3 linked regions of the Oryctolagus cuniculus genome follow. The protein of the gene in region 3 binds, or shares a complex with, the protein of the main gene of each other region. Links are inferred from orthologs where the notes say so. Each region holds a gene or a part of one and is shown on either strand. Other genes may lie near its edges. The genes, in order: ZFPM1, PRDM16 and RBBP4.

Region 1 (3,741 bases), on a different chromosome or scaffold from region 3:
AACTCTGAGAGTGAGTGAAAAACACCCTCGCCTAGCACGGAGCAGCTGCCGGGGCGGGGACGGAGGCCGGGCAAGTCCCCAGGCTCCTGCCGGAAACCGTCGGGGCCTGGCTTTCCACCGGGCATCTGGGATCCGGTCCCAGGCCCATTTCTCAGACAGGGAAACGGAGGAGCCCTTCTGACCTCGCCTCGCCTCCTCCCAGCCACGCCCCCTCGGCAGCCCGAGTCAGGGCCCATCCTTCAGAGTTGGAGGCCCAGGCCTAGCCAGCCCCCAGTGGCCACGCTCCCCTTCGCCCTCCCTTGCCCTGGGGCAGCAGCTGGGACCCTGTGCTGCGCACAGCCCCCCTTCCCCCCTGACTTAGGGCCCCCAGAGATCCCACACCCTAGGCGCCTCCAAGTCATGGAAACCACCTTAGTTTTTTTTTTCTCCAAGAAAACTCCAAGCTGCTTACTCCTGCTGCCGGCCGGAAGGGCCAGGAGGGGGGAGGGAAGGAGCCCTCTCCCCTTCTCCGGGTGACAGACCCCCACCATCGCCACACGTCTGGGGGAGGCCTCCCCTCCCCCTCCCAGGCCAGCCAAAGTCCGCTTTCTTTCATTTTGACGGACCGTACCACCCGAGGCGGGGGGGACCAACTTCTTGGCAACTCAGCGTGTTTGGGGGGAGCTCCCCCAGGACGCACGCTGCTCCCGGTGCGCCTGGCCGGTCCCGGGCCCCCTCGCCCGTCCTGCCCCAGCCGGTAGCCCCCGCCTCCGTCCCAGTCCCCACCCCGCTGCTGTTGCCTCGGACCCGGCCGGGCCTGCTGGACGCAGATAAGGCCTCTTATCGCTCCTGGCGATCGCCATCGGCCGGCCGGCCAGCGCTTATCAGAGCTCACATCAACCGGGAGGGAGGAGAGCCGGGCCGGCCGGGGGGCGCCGGGGGTCCGGGGCTGCGCCCTGCCGGGCGGCGGCCTATCGCAGCAGCCATCTGGCCGGCCAAGGCCGCGCTCCCGCCTCGCCCTCCCCCGCTCCCACGTTTGAAGTTAATAAATGGAAGCGCCTATCGCCGCCGCCATCGGTGCGCGCCCTATCAGCGCGGCACATCTATCTGCGCCGAACAAAAGGCGCTGGGGGCGCGGGCAGCTGCGCCCGGCCGCGGAGGGGGCGCGGGGGGCGGCGGCCCCAGGGCTCGGCCCCGCCCCTCCGCAACGCCCGCCGGGTCGCAGGTGAGGCCACGGCGCAGCTGCCATCGGCGCTGGCACTAAGCGCCAGCACTGAGCCGCCGGGGGCGGGGCGGCGCCCGGGGCCACCTTCGGCTCCGGCCCCCTCCTCTGCCAAGGTACCCGTCCCCAGCGCCAGCGGCGCGGCGACCCAGTCGGGCTGGGCTCTCGCCGCCGCGGCGGCCTTATCGGCCCTGGCGATCGGTTCCCAACCCGCGCTCTCCCTGCCCGCCCTATCTGCATTTCTCATCAGCCGAAACACACGAGAACAGACCCGAACACAGGCGCCCGGGGGGAGGGGGGAGCCGAAACCCGAGCAGGCGCGCAGATCGGACCTGTGGGTGCTTCCAGACTCGCGCGGACTCGGTGGAAGACGACTTTCGGAAAGCAAGTCCCACCTGCACCGGGGACCGGGACCGGAGCCCGCGCCGCGGCTCCGGACAACCCGGGTGCAGCGACCGCCCACGCACGGGCACCCGGGGTCCCGCTGGCAGCGGCCAGGCGCCAGGAGCCGAGCAGCCGGCCTGCCCCCTTCAACGCCTCCCGGGCGGGTCTGGCCCGGGGAGGTGGCCCTGGCTGCAGAGGCGCGAAGTTGTTAGGGGCGTGGGCCGGGGCGCGGCGCTTCCTGGCGCAGGGCGCCCTTATCTGTGGGGCATCAGTAACGCGGGGGCCGAGCGGCCGCCCGGGAGAGGACTGCTCGACCCGCGAAAAACTCGGCCGGCCCCAGTCCCCGCGACCTGTCCCGGGCTCCGCGCAGCCCCCGCGGTCGCCAGGGCCCCGCGTGCCGGCTGCGCGGCCGAGACGCTCCGGGGTCGGGGGCCTCGGGCGCGCGGCGCCAGGGGGGCCGGCGGCAAGGGGCCCCGCGCCGGCCTCGGGCGCCCGCCCCCCGGGTCCCCCTCTGGATACAAAGCCTGGGAGAGCCGAGCGCGCCAGATAAGATCACAATTTCTGCCCGTCCCGACGGGGCGATCTTATCGGGACGAGACTTGCAGAATGGAATATTTTAAACTTTATCGGCGCCCAGATCGGGGCCGCGCTATCGCCGCACCATCGCGGTGCGGGCCGGACCCCCGTCCCACCGCCGCCCGGGGGAGGGGACAGCGGCGCGCCCCGCGCGGGGTCGCGGCCGCGGGACTCACGCTTGATCTGCCGGGGGTTGCTCTGTTTCCTCCTGGACATGTCTCCGGCGCCGCGCGCCTCCAAGGCCGCCTCAGCCTCGGGCGGGCGGCGGCGGGCGGCAGGCGCGCGGCAGAGCCGCGGGGCGGCTCATGCCCACGGCCCCCGGCTCCGCAGCCGCCACGGCCCGCGGCCCCGGCCCGCCGCGCTCGGCCCAGGAGCCGCCGCGGGGGCCGGCGGCCACCGCCTGCTGCGGGCGCAGCTGTCGGCGCACGGGGCCGGCTCCTCGGCTCCCGCGCGCGCCGCCGCCGCTCGGCTTTTCTCAATGGAGCCTGCGGGCGGCGAGCGGCGGATCGGGCGGCCGCGGCCACGGCGAGGGCGAATCCCGGCAGGCGGGCCCTGCGCGTCGCCGGCCACCGCGCCTCTGGCCCCGCCCCGCTGGGGGCCGCGCCTCTCGTGGCCCCGCCCCCGGCCTGACAGGGCCTCTCCCCGCGCTGGCCCCGCCCACTGAACCAAGGTCCCGCCCCGCCAGGCTGCGCCTCTCCTCCCATAGGTCCCGCCCCGCCAGGCTGCGCCTCTCCCCGCGCCGGCCCCGCCCCTGACCTGGCGGCGCCTCTCCCCGCGCCGGCCCCGCCCACGGCACCCAGGCCCCGCCCCTGACCTGGCGGCGCCTCTCCCCGCGCCGGCCCCGCCCACGGCACCCAGGCCCCGCCCCTGACCTGGCGGCGCCTCTCGCGCCGGCTCTGCCCCCGCGGCCCGGGCCCGCCCCCGCAAGGCCTCGCTTCTCCCGGGTCTGGCTCCGCCCCCCACTCTGAATTCCCGCGCCGGCCCCGGGCCGGTCACGCTGAGCCGCTCACCGCGCTGTCTCCCGTGGTGGGTTCCCTCCTCACCGCGCTGGTCCGCCCGCTCTCGCCGCTCTGACCCCCTTAGCCTCGTTCGACCCTCACCGCTCTGGCCCCACCCCTTCCGGCTCCTCCCTCACGGCCGTGGCCCCGCCCCCGGCTCTGGGAGTCGCCTTCTGGCCTTCTCCGCCTCTCCTTGGGCCCTGGGACATTTGTCCCGGGCCCGGCTGGGACGAGGCAACCTATTCGGTCCCGCGGGACGCTCAAGTGCCTCAGGCCCCGCCCCCAACCTGACCCGCGCCGTCCGGCCCGCCCCGGACTCCGCGGCCCCGCCCCGGACTCCGCGGCCCCGCCCCGCCCTGCGGCCCCGCCCGCCCCGACTCCGGGCTCCGCCCCGCCCTGCGGCCCCGCCCCGCCCCGGACTCCGCGGCCCCGCCCCGCCCTGCGGCCCCGCCCCGCACTTCGCGGCCCCGCCCCGCCCCGCGGCCCCGCCCGCCCCGGACTCCTCGGCCCCGCCCCGCCCCGCGGCCCCGCCCCGGACTCCGCGGCCCCGCCCCGCCCTGCGGCCCCGCCCGCCCCGACTCC
Region 2 (3,641 bases), about 23 Mb from region 3:
GTGGAGCCGGGAGGGGCCGAGAGCAGCCCGGGGCACTGTGGCCTTGCGGCCGTGGGCCCCCTCCCCTGGGCCCCCTCCCTCAGGGCAGCGGGCAGGGTCTGTGAGCAGGTTCCCGGCCACGCTATGGCCTGCAGCCCCAGCCCCCACTTCCCTCTCTGCTGTGGGCCAGTGCGACCCACAGCCCCGTGCCCGGGGGCGGCCACTCAGCCGGGTGGCCCCTGCTGCTAAGCTGCAGCCGTGACCAGGGCCAGGGAGTCACTAGGCCCCGACGCCCTGGCCTCCGGGCCCCAGCGTAGGCGGCCGCAGTGCCCACCTGCTGTCTCCCTGCAGCCGGCCCCCCAGACAGCCTCGCCCCGTCTCAGCTACAGCCGTCTGCATGTCTGTCTTTCGTCTTCCTGCTAATTCTGTCCGGGTGTCGACTTGGGTGCCTCCCCAGCACCCCGTGCTCGGCCCCGTCTCTCCCCCACCGCACCGCCGAATCATTCCGTGGCCTGCAGAGGCTTCCGGTGCCTACTCCCAGAGCGGCTCTGGGGTCCCCAGGCCCGGCAGGAGCGCAGGGTCTCACAGGAACTCCCACCTGTGCCCAGAGCAGACACCTGCGCTTAACTCCCGATCACCAACCGAACCACGCAGGGGCGGGGCAGGGTGACCGCGAGCGAGCCCCTGGCCAGGACGGGGACTCTTGGCGTCGCTCTGGGCAGGAGGGATGGCCCTTCTCCCTCCCCGCTGCAGGGCAGGGGAGACTCTGGGTCTCCCTGGCCCCGCTGCCCTCCGCCCCACAGTGTGGGCCAGGGGGAGGCTCCCTGCTCACGGCCCGCCTGCGTGTCCCCCCCACAGGCATACGCAATGATGCTGTCCCTCTCGGAGGATGCTGCCCTCCACACCCCCTCCCAGAGCTCGCTGGACGCTTGGCTGAACATGGCGGGAGCCGCCTCGGAGTCCGGCGCCTTTAACCCCATGAACCACCTCTGATGGGCCTGGAGTCCAGAGCGAGGGTGCCGGCTGCCCAGGATGAAGGCGAGGCCAGGGAGAAGCCCCGTGTCACCTCCTCCGACCACCCCCACAGCCGTCCCCTGCCTGCGTGGGCCGCGTCGAACTTTCCTGATGAAGACTCAGAAGCTGCAAGCCCCGGGGCTGGGGGGAGCTCCCTCCTCATCCCTGGAAACCGGCCCTGGGCCTGGTCGGTCGAGCCCAGCCCTCGCCTCCCGGAGCTGCCGCTCCAAAGCAGCCCCAGGCCGGGCCAGGAGCTGGGCCGCTTCCGGGCGCCCGGAGTCACCGAGGAAGGGACCGGCCCGGGGCAGGTGCGCTCTGCCGAGACCGGGCGCGGGCGCTTTTTATAATGAGAATGACAAGAGTGACGCTTTTGGTAATCTTATTGACTACAGATTCTATTTAAGCATGTGGGTTTTAAAAATAGACAGTATTTTTTAAAAATCAAAAAAATGACTTGCAAATTGTTTTTTAAAAGTAATTTTGCATTGCTTTGAAATTTCAGCTTCTCGCAAACCCGGGCGCTGGGAGCCAGCACTGTGCTTGGGCGAGCTCTTTATACTGTAGATAACGGAGAGATTTTCTATCTCGGATCCCATTTGTACAAGCCAGGTTGATTCCGGGTGCCCCGAGGCAGAGCGTGGGGTGCAGACTGGACCGAGGCGTCTCAGACGCGGTGCCCGGGCTGCAGGCCTGCCCGGGGCCAGGACCTGGAGGTGTGCCCGCCTGGGCGGCCTGGAGCTCCTGCCAGGGCCTCCACGCGGCTGCTGGAGAACCCACGGGCGACCACCCCAGACTCCCCGGCTTCGTGGGGAAGCCAGGAGCCCGAGGCTCAGGCCCTCACCCGGGGGTGGCCGGGGGCCCTGGCCACCCTTCCAGAGGTGGGGCCTATTGGCCACATTCTGGCTCCGTGTCCTGCCCGTGGCCACCCAGGGCGGGGCGGGGGCTGCGCAGCTCGGCTGCACCAGGACGCCAAGCGCTACCTGTGCCTACGGCCCCAGGTCGGCCACCCCGCCGTGCCACCCTTGGCGCAGGCTCCTGGCCAGACGTCCGGGGCTGCAGAGAGAGCGCCCAGCCCCCGGGCACGGCAGTGGCTTCTCCACTGGGACGGGCTTTAAATTATTCCCATGGGGCCAACTTCGAAGTATAATTTTTCCGTGATGGAATTCACCTTAATCTGTATATAACTTGTAATTTTTCTAATCATTTCTTTTCTTATTTTATTTCTTCCTTAACAGTATTTTTTTTGGCATTAGACATTCTTATTGTGAAGAAATGATGTTAATATAAGTATCTAGTGAGGGACCAAAACCGTGTATAAGGTTGTGTGTTGTGTGATGCGTCACCAGGGAGGGCGGCCAGCTGACGTGCCAAATACCCCGCCCCGCCCGCCGCGACTCCTGCCGCCGCCGCCGCCCGTGCCCAGACAATCACGCCCTGATCAGTCTGAGTTTCAGACGCATTCGCATTGACGACGAGTGTTCTATTTATTTCTTTTGTCGTTTGGGGAAAAAAACAAATCCTCATACTAGTGTCCCACTAAGAAGAGAAAAAATCACCCACGTTGCCCTTAAGAGGAAACCGCGAGAACGCAGACGACTGCGGCCGCGGCCGCGTGGACTTGTCATTCCAAGGACACCTCCTCCGTGTGCGCCCCGGGGGCCCTGACGCACGCGTGTCCTGGCTGCTCCAGGCCAAAGACAGTGGGTGCCGGGGTCCAGGCTCCTGCCGGAGACTCACGGCAGAGAGGCCCCTGTGGGCGACGCAGCGCTGCAGGTCCTGGGGTCAGGGGTCAGCCCTCGCCGGATCTACCTGGACGCAAGACGGAGGCCGCCTAGCACGAGCGTGTGCAGCGGCAAGGCGGGAGCCGAGGAGCTGGCGCGGCCCCGTCGGAAGCCTGCAGCCCAGCCGCAGCCGGGCCGCCAGGTACCGACCACGTAGGAAGTCTCCCCTCATCTGAACGCGACCCTGTAAACACCCTATTTCTGTAAACCAAATTATATGATTTCTCCTGCGAACGAATGAGCTGTGTGCTTCTTTGTGTGCTAAGACTCCTCCTCTGTCCGTCTCTCTCTCTCTCTCTCTCTCTCTCTCCCACGTGTCTCTCCTGGGCAGTGACCGAGCAGGCAGGGGCTGCCCTCCCCTGGGCCCTCCGCGGCCCCGGGGCGCTAGCTCCGCCCCCTCTCTGGAGATTTCTCTTCTTCCCGGAGAGTCGCCGACAGTGAGGACCACCAGCCGTTCCCCCTCGAGCATGTCCCTACTCCCACCACTTGGCATTAGGGTTGGGGGGCTCTGTCCCAAAACCCCCCAACCAAGAGAGCACTGATCTCCCATGCTGGTGCACCCCCAAAACATGGCCTCCACCAGCCGGTCCTGCGCACCTGGCTTGACCCTGCGCCAGCTCCAGCCCCAGCCCAGCAGTGCCTGGGCCCTCAGCCGGCCACTGTCAGGACCAGGAGGCCCACTGAGAGGCAGGGAGCCATGATGCCGGCCCCCGGAACGCCAGTGGGAGCCAGGTCACCGAGCAGCACAGGCAGGCACTGGGCGGGGCTGCTGGCTGGCGGACCACTGCGGGGGTTCACACAAGGCTACTACCCTGGTGCCGACCTTGCTCCCCAAAACTGAAATCCAGGGGCCCCTCCCGCTCCTTC
Region 3 (3,641 bases):
TCTTGGATGCATATAGTAGTCAAAATGAGAATTTAAAGTGTTTTTGTCTAGTCCATGCATACCTGTTTTATTTCAACCAAGGACATTGATTGGCAAGTGTAAATGGAGGTCAAGAAAATGGAATTAGCTGTTGGGGCTCTGTTACTCCTCATTGGGCTAAAAGAAATGCTGTAGGGATATGAGTGTGATAGTATTTCAGAAAGGTCACTCAAGGGCAGGTATTGTGGCACAGTAGGTTAAGCCGCTGCTTGGGACACCTGCATCCCATATTGGAGTGCATTTATTTATCTTTTCAAGCAGAGAGAGCTTCCATTCACTGGTTCAATCCCCAAATGTCCACTGCTGCCAAGGTTTGGTCCAGACCAAATCCGGGAGCCTTGAAGTCCATCCTGGGTGGTAGGTACTCAAGTACTTGAGTCATCTGCTGCTGCTTTCTCAGGCACATTAGCAGGGAGCTGGATTGGAAGCAGAACAGCTGAGACTGGTCCTGTGTGGAATGCTGGCATCAAAAGCCATGGCTTAACCCACTAATGCTAACCTCATTTTTTTTTTTAAGGTGGGAAGTGCCCCAAATTAGAGATTCAGGTGAATGGTATAAGAGGGACTCTTTAATGCTTAGTAAACTGTGTACTTAATAATCATTTAAATAGTAACTTGAGTTTTGTTTATTTGGCATAATTGTAGTTTAAATGATACTTGAAAACTAGTAAGAATCTCCTTTTGAAGTGGAATTGCTAGTTAATTTCAAATAGTGAGGGCAGTGCTTCTTATTAAGTATTTAACTATGTACTTAGAGTGTAAAAGACCAACAAATATCTAAATCACTTGTATACTGGCTTACTGATAAAAGTCCTTGTACTCTGGATGACATACCTAGAATAATTCCTGCTTTTTCCTCATTTGCACTTGATCTTATTTACAGAATTTGGAGGTTTTGGATCAGTTAGTGGAAAAATTGAAATAGAAATAAAGATCAACCATGAAGGAGAAGTAAACAGAGCTCGTTATATGCCCCAGAACCCTTGCATCATTGCAACAAAGACTCCATCCAGTGATGTTCTTGTCTTCGACTATACTAAGCATCCTTCTAAGCCAGGTACCTGCCCTTTTCTAGTCAATTGCAAATAATGCATCAAGAGTGGGAATACATGGTTCCACTCATTCTGAGTATAATTACTTGTTGTTTGTATAATTTAACATTTTGTGATTTATATTACTACGTAAATATGAATGCATACATTTTTCCCTTTATGCTTCTTGCCTTAAAAATTTTTTTTAAGCAGAATGATAATATACCTTAAGTATCATATATTTGGTCATAATGAGTTCTATATTTTTAAATGTTAAACTTTAGATACCTTGATCCAGTCGAGTTGTGTTATGCTTAGTAGATCCAGAGAGTTGATGGAGTAGGTAATCTTGGTGTGTCTCAACTCTGCAGACCCTTCTGGAGAGTGCAACCCAGATTTACGTCTCCGTGGACATCAGAAGGAAGGCTATGGACTTTCTTGGAACCCAAATCTCAGTGGGCACTTACTTAGTGCTTCTGATGACCACGTGTGTATCCTTCCCATTTGGGCTAATTACCAGTTGGATTTCTTTTAGGAGGTTTGTGAAGTAAAAATTTGTCATTTAATGGTTGATTTTACATTTAAGACCATCTGCCTGTGGGACATCAGTGCTGTTCCAAAGGAAGGAAAAGTGGTGGATGCGAAAACCATCTTTACGGGGCACACAGCGGTCGTAGAGGATGTTTCCTGGCATCTTCTCCATGAATCTCTGTTTGGGTCGGTTGCTGATGATCAGAAACTTATGATGTGAGTGGGATCCTTTTTTATTTTTCCTCTGAGTGTTTCCTAAGTTGTGTAGTTACCATTTCAAGCGTTTTTCTTATTTACTTTTTCTTTCTTTCTTTTTTTTTTTTTTAAGTTGGGATACTCGTTCAAACAATACTTCCAAGCCAAGCCACTCAGTTGATGCTCACACTGCTGAAGTGAACTGCCTGTCTTTCAATCCGTATAGTGAGTTCATTCTTGCCACAGGATCGGCTGACAAGGTCTGTTTTGTTTACTTTAAGAGAATATATAGGATTAATTTCCCCAGCATCATTGGAATGTACATAGATCTTTTTAGTCACAGATTTTCTTTAAAAAAAAATTTATTGTTCTTGTTCTTTTCCTTTTGTATGTAGACTGTTGCCTTGTGGGATTTGAGAAATCTGAAACTGAAGTTGCATTCCTTTGAATCACATAAAGATGAAATATTCCAGGTAAGAAGCACCAGTGTTACTAAATTTTTTTTTAATTTATTTATTTAAAAGTCAGAATTACAGAGAGAGAGGTGTCTTCCATCCACTGGTTCACTCCCTAAATGGCTGGAGCTGCGCTGATCCAAAGGCAGGAGCCAGGAGCTTCTTCCCACGCAGGCACAGTGGCCCAAGGACTTGGGCCATCCTCCACTGCTTTCCCAGGCCACAGCATAGAGCTGGATCGGAAGCAGAGCAGCCGGGATATGAACCGGCATCCCTGTGGGATGCCGGCACTGCAGGCGGAAGCTTTACCTGGTATGCCACAGTGCCGGCCCCAATTTTTTTTTCTTAAAAGAAGACTTGTGTATATTACTGGGCACACTTGTGCTTTATCTGGTGCATAAAATAGTAGGGATCTTTCTTTTTGCCTGTATTAACATCTGTGGAAATGAGTTGTTTTTCCTCCAATTGTGTTGTGTTTTATATATGTATACACACACACAGAGAAATGTTATTTCTTTGAGTTTGGATTTTAGTTGGTTTTGTTTTAGACTGATTTATTTATTTGAAAGAGAAAGAAAGAGCTTCCATCTACTGGTTTACTCCTCAAATGGCCTCAACAGCCAGGGCTGGACCAGGCTGAAGCCAGAGACCCACAGACTTGGGCCGGGATTCAAGCTCTACCCATATTGGATGACAGCATCAGATGAGGCAGCTTAACTTGCTGCACTGTGTAACACGATGCTCTTGCCCCCTCTCCCCCTCCCCTGTACTATCAAACTGTATTTTGGCCACCTACAATCTTAGGGTATTAGTGTCTGATTATTTTCACAGCTTTAGTCCTGACAATTGTTTTTGTTTCCATTCATTCATCTTTTTTTATTTTTTTTTTCGTTTTTTTTTGTTTGTTTGTTTGTTTTGTTTTTGTTTTTGTTTGTTTGTTTTTTTTTTTTGACAGGCAGAGTGGACAGTGAGAGAGAGAGACAGAGAGAAAGGTCTTCCTTTTTTCCGCTGGTTCACCCTCCAATGGCCACCATGGCTGGTGCGCTGCAGCCGGTGCACCACGCTGATGTGATGGCGGGAGCCAGATACTTATCCTGGTCTCCCATGGGGTGCAGGGCCCAAGCACTTGGGCCATCCTCCACTGCACTCCCTGGCCACAGCAGAGAGCTGGCCTGGAAGAGGGGCAACCGGGACAGAATCCGGCGCCCCGACCGGAACTAGAACCTGGTGTGCCGGCACCACAAGGCGGAGGATTAGCCTAGTGAGCCGCGGCGCCGGCCCATTCATTCATCCTTTATAGCTCCTGGTTTTCTGCCTAAGATTTATTTATTGAAAATCAAAGTTACAGAGGGAGAGAGAGAGAGAGTGCATGCGTCTTCCATTTGCTGTT

Evidence for each region.
Region 1: the proteins of RBBP4 (region 3) and ZFPM1 are in contact, whole or in part, in a crystal structure (PDB 2XU7), measured with the Homo sapiens proteins. The link is inferred for Oryctolagus cuniculus from reciprocal best matches to the Homo sapiens genes RBBP4 and ZFPM1. Residues at the interface, in NP_005601.1 of Homo sapiens: Ala39, Leu40, Glu41, Trp42, Pro43, Leu45, His71, Thr72, Ser73, Glu126, Asn128, Arg129, Pro145, Glu179, Tyr181, Asp198, Glu231, Asp248, Glu275, Asn277, Glu319, Phe321, Lys376, Glu395, Asp396, Asn397; in NP_722520.2 of Homo sapiens: Ser2, Arg3, Arg4, Lys5, Gln6, Pro9, Arg10, Gln11, Ile12.
Region 2: the proteins of RBBP4 (region 3) and PRDM16 are in contact, whole or in part, in a crystal structure (PDB 6BW4), measured with the Homo sapiens proteins. The link is inferred for Oryctolagus cuniculus from reciprocal best matches to the Homo sapiens genes RBBP4 and PRDM16. Residues at the interface, in NP_005601.1 of Homo sapiens: Ala39, Leu40, Glu41, Trp42, Pro43, Leu45, His71, Thr72, Ser73, Asp74, Glu126, Asn128, Arg129, Glu179, Tyr181, Asp198, Val229, Glu231, Asp248, Glu275, Asn277, Phe321, Glu395, Asn397; in NP_071397.3 of Homo sapiens: Met1, Arg2, Lys4, Ala5, Arg6, Ala7, Arg8, Lys9, Leu10.

Annotation. Positions count from the first base shown.
Region 1 is NC_091449.1:68,558,585-68,562,325, reverse strand, and holds the start of ZFPM1 (zinc finger protein ZFPM1), read right to left. Parts: upstream 2,715-3,741; 5' UTR 2,378-2,714; coding exon 2,338-2,377; intron 1-2,337. UniProt on the Homo sapiens protein: Transcription regulator that plays an essential role in erythroid and megakaryocytic cell differentiation. Essential cofactor that acts via the formation of a heterodimer with transcription factors of the GATA family GATA1, GATA2 and GATA3.
Region 2 is NC_091438.1:162,974,909-162,978,549, reverse strand, and holds part of PRDM16 (histone-lysine N-methyltransferase PRDM16), read left to right. Parts: intron 1-837; coding exon 838-972; 3' UTR 973-3,641. UniProt on the Homo sapiens protein: Binds DNA and functions as a transcriptional regulator. Displays histone methyltransferase activity and monomethylates 'Lys-9' of histone H3 (H3K9me1) in vitro.
Region 3 is NC_091438.1:139,874,938-139,878,578, reverse strand, and holds part of RBBP4 (histone-binding protein RBBP4), read left to right. Parts: intron 1-922; coding exon 923-1,096; intron 1,097-1,441; coding exon 1,442-1,557; intron 1,558-1,656; coding exon 1,657-1,817; intron 1,818-1,929; coding exon 1,930-2,056; intron 2,057-2,191; coding exon 2,192-2,269; intron 2,270-3,641. UniProt on the Homo sapiens protein: Core histone-binding subunit that may target chromatin assembly factors, chromatin remodeling factors and histone deacetylases to their histone substrates in a manner that is regulated by nucleosomal DNA.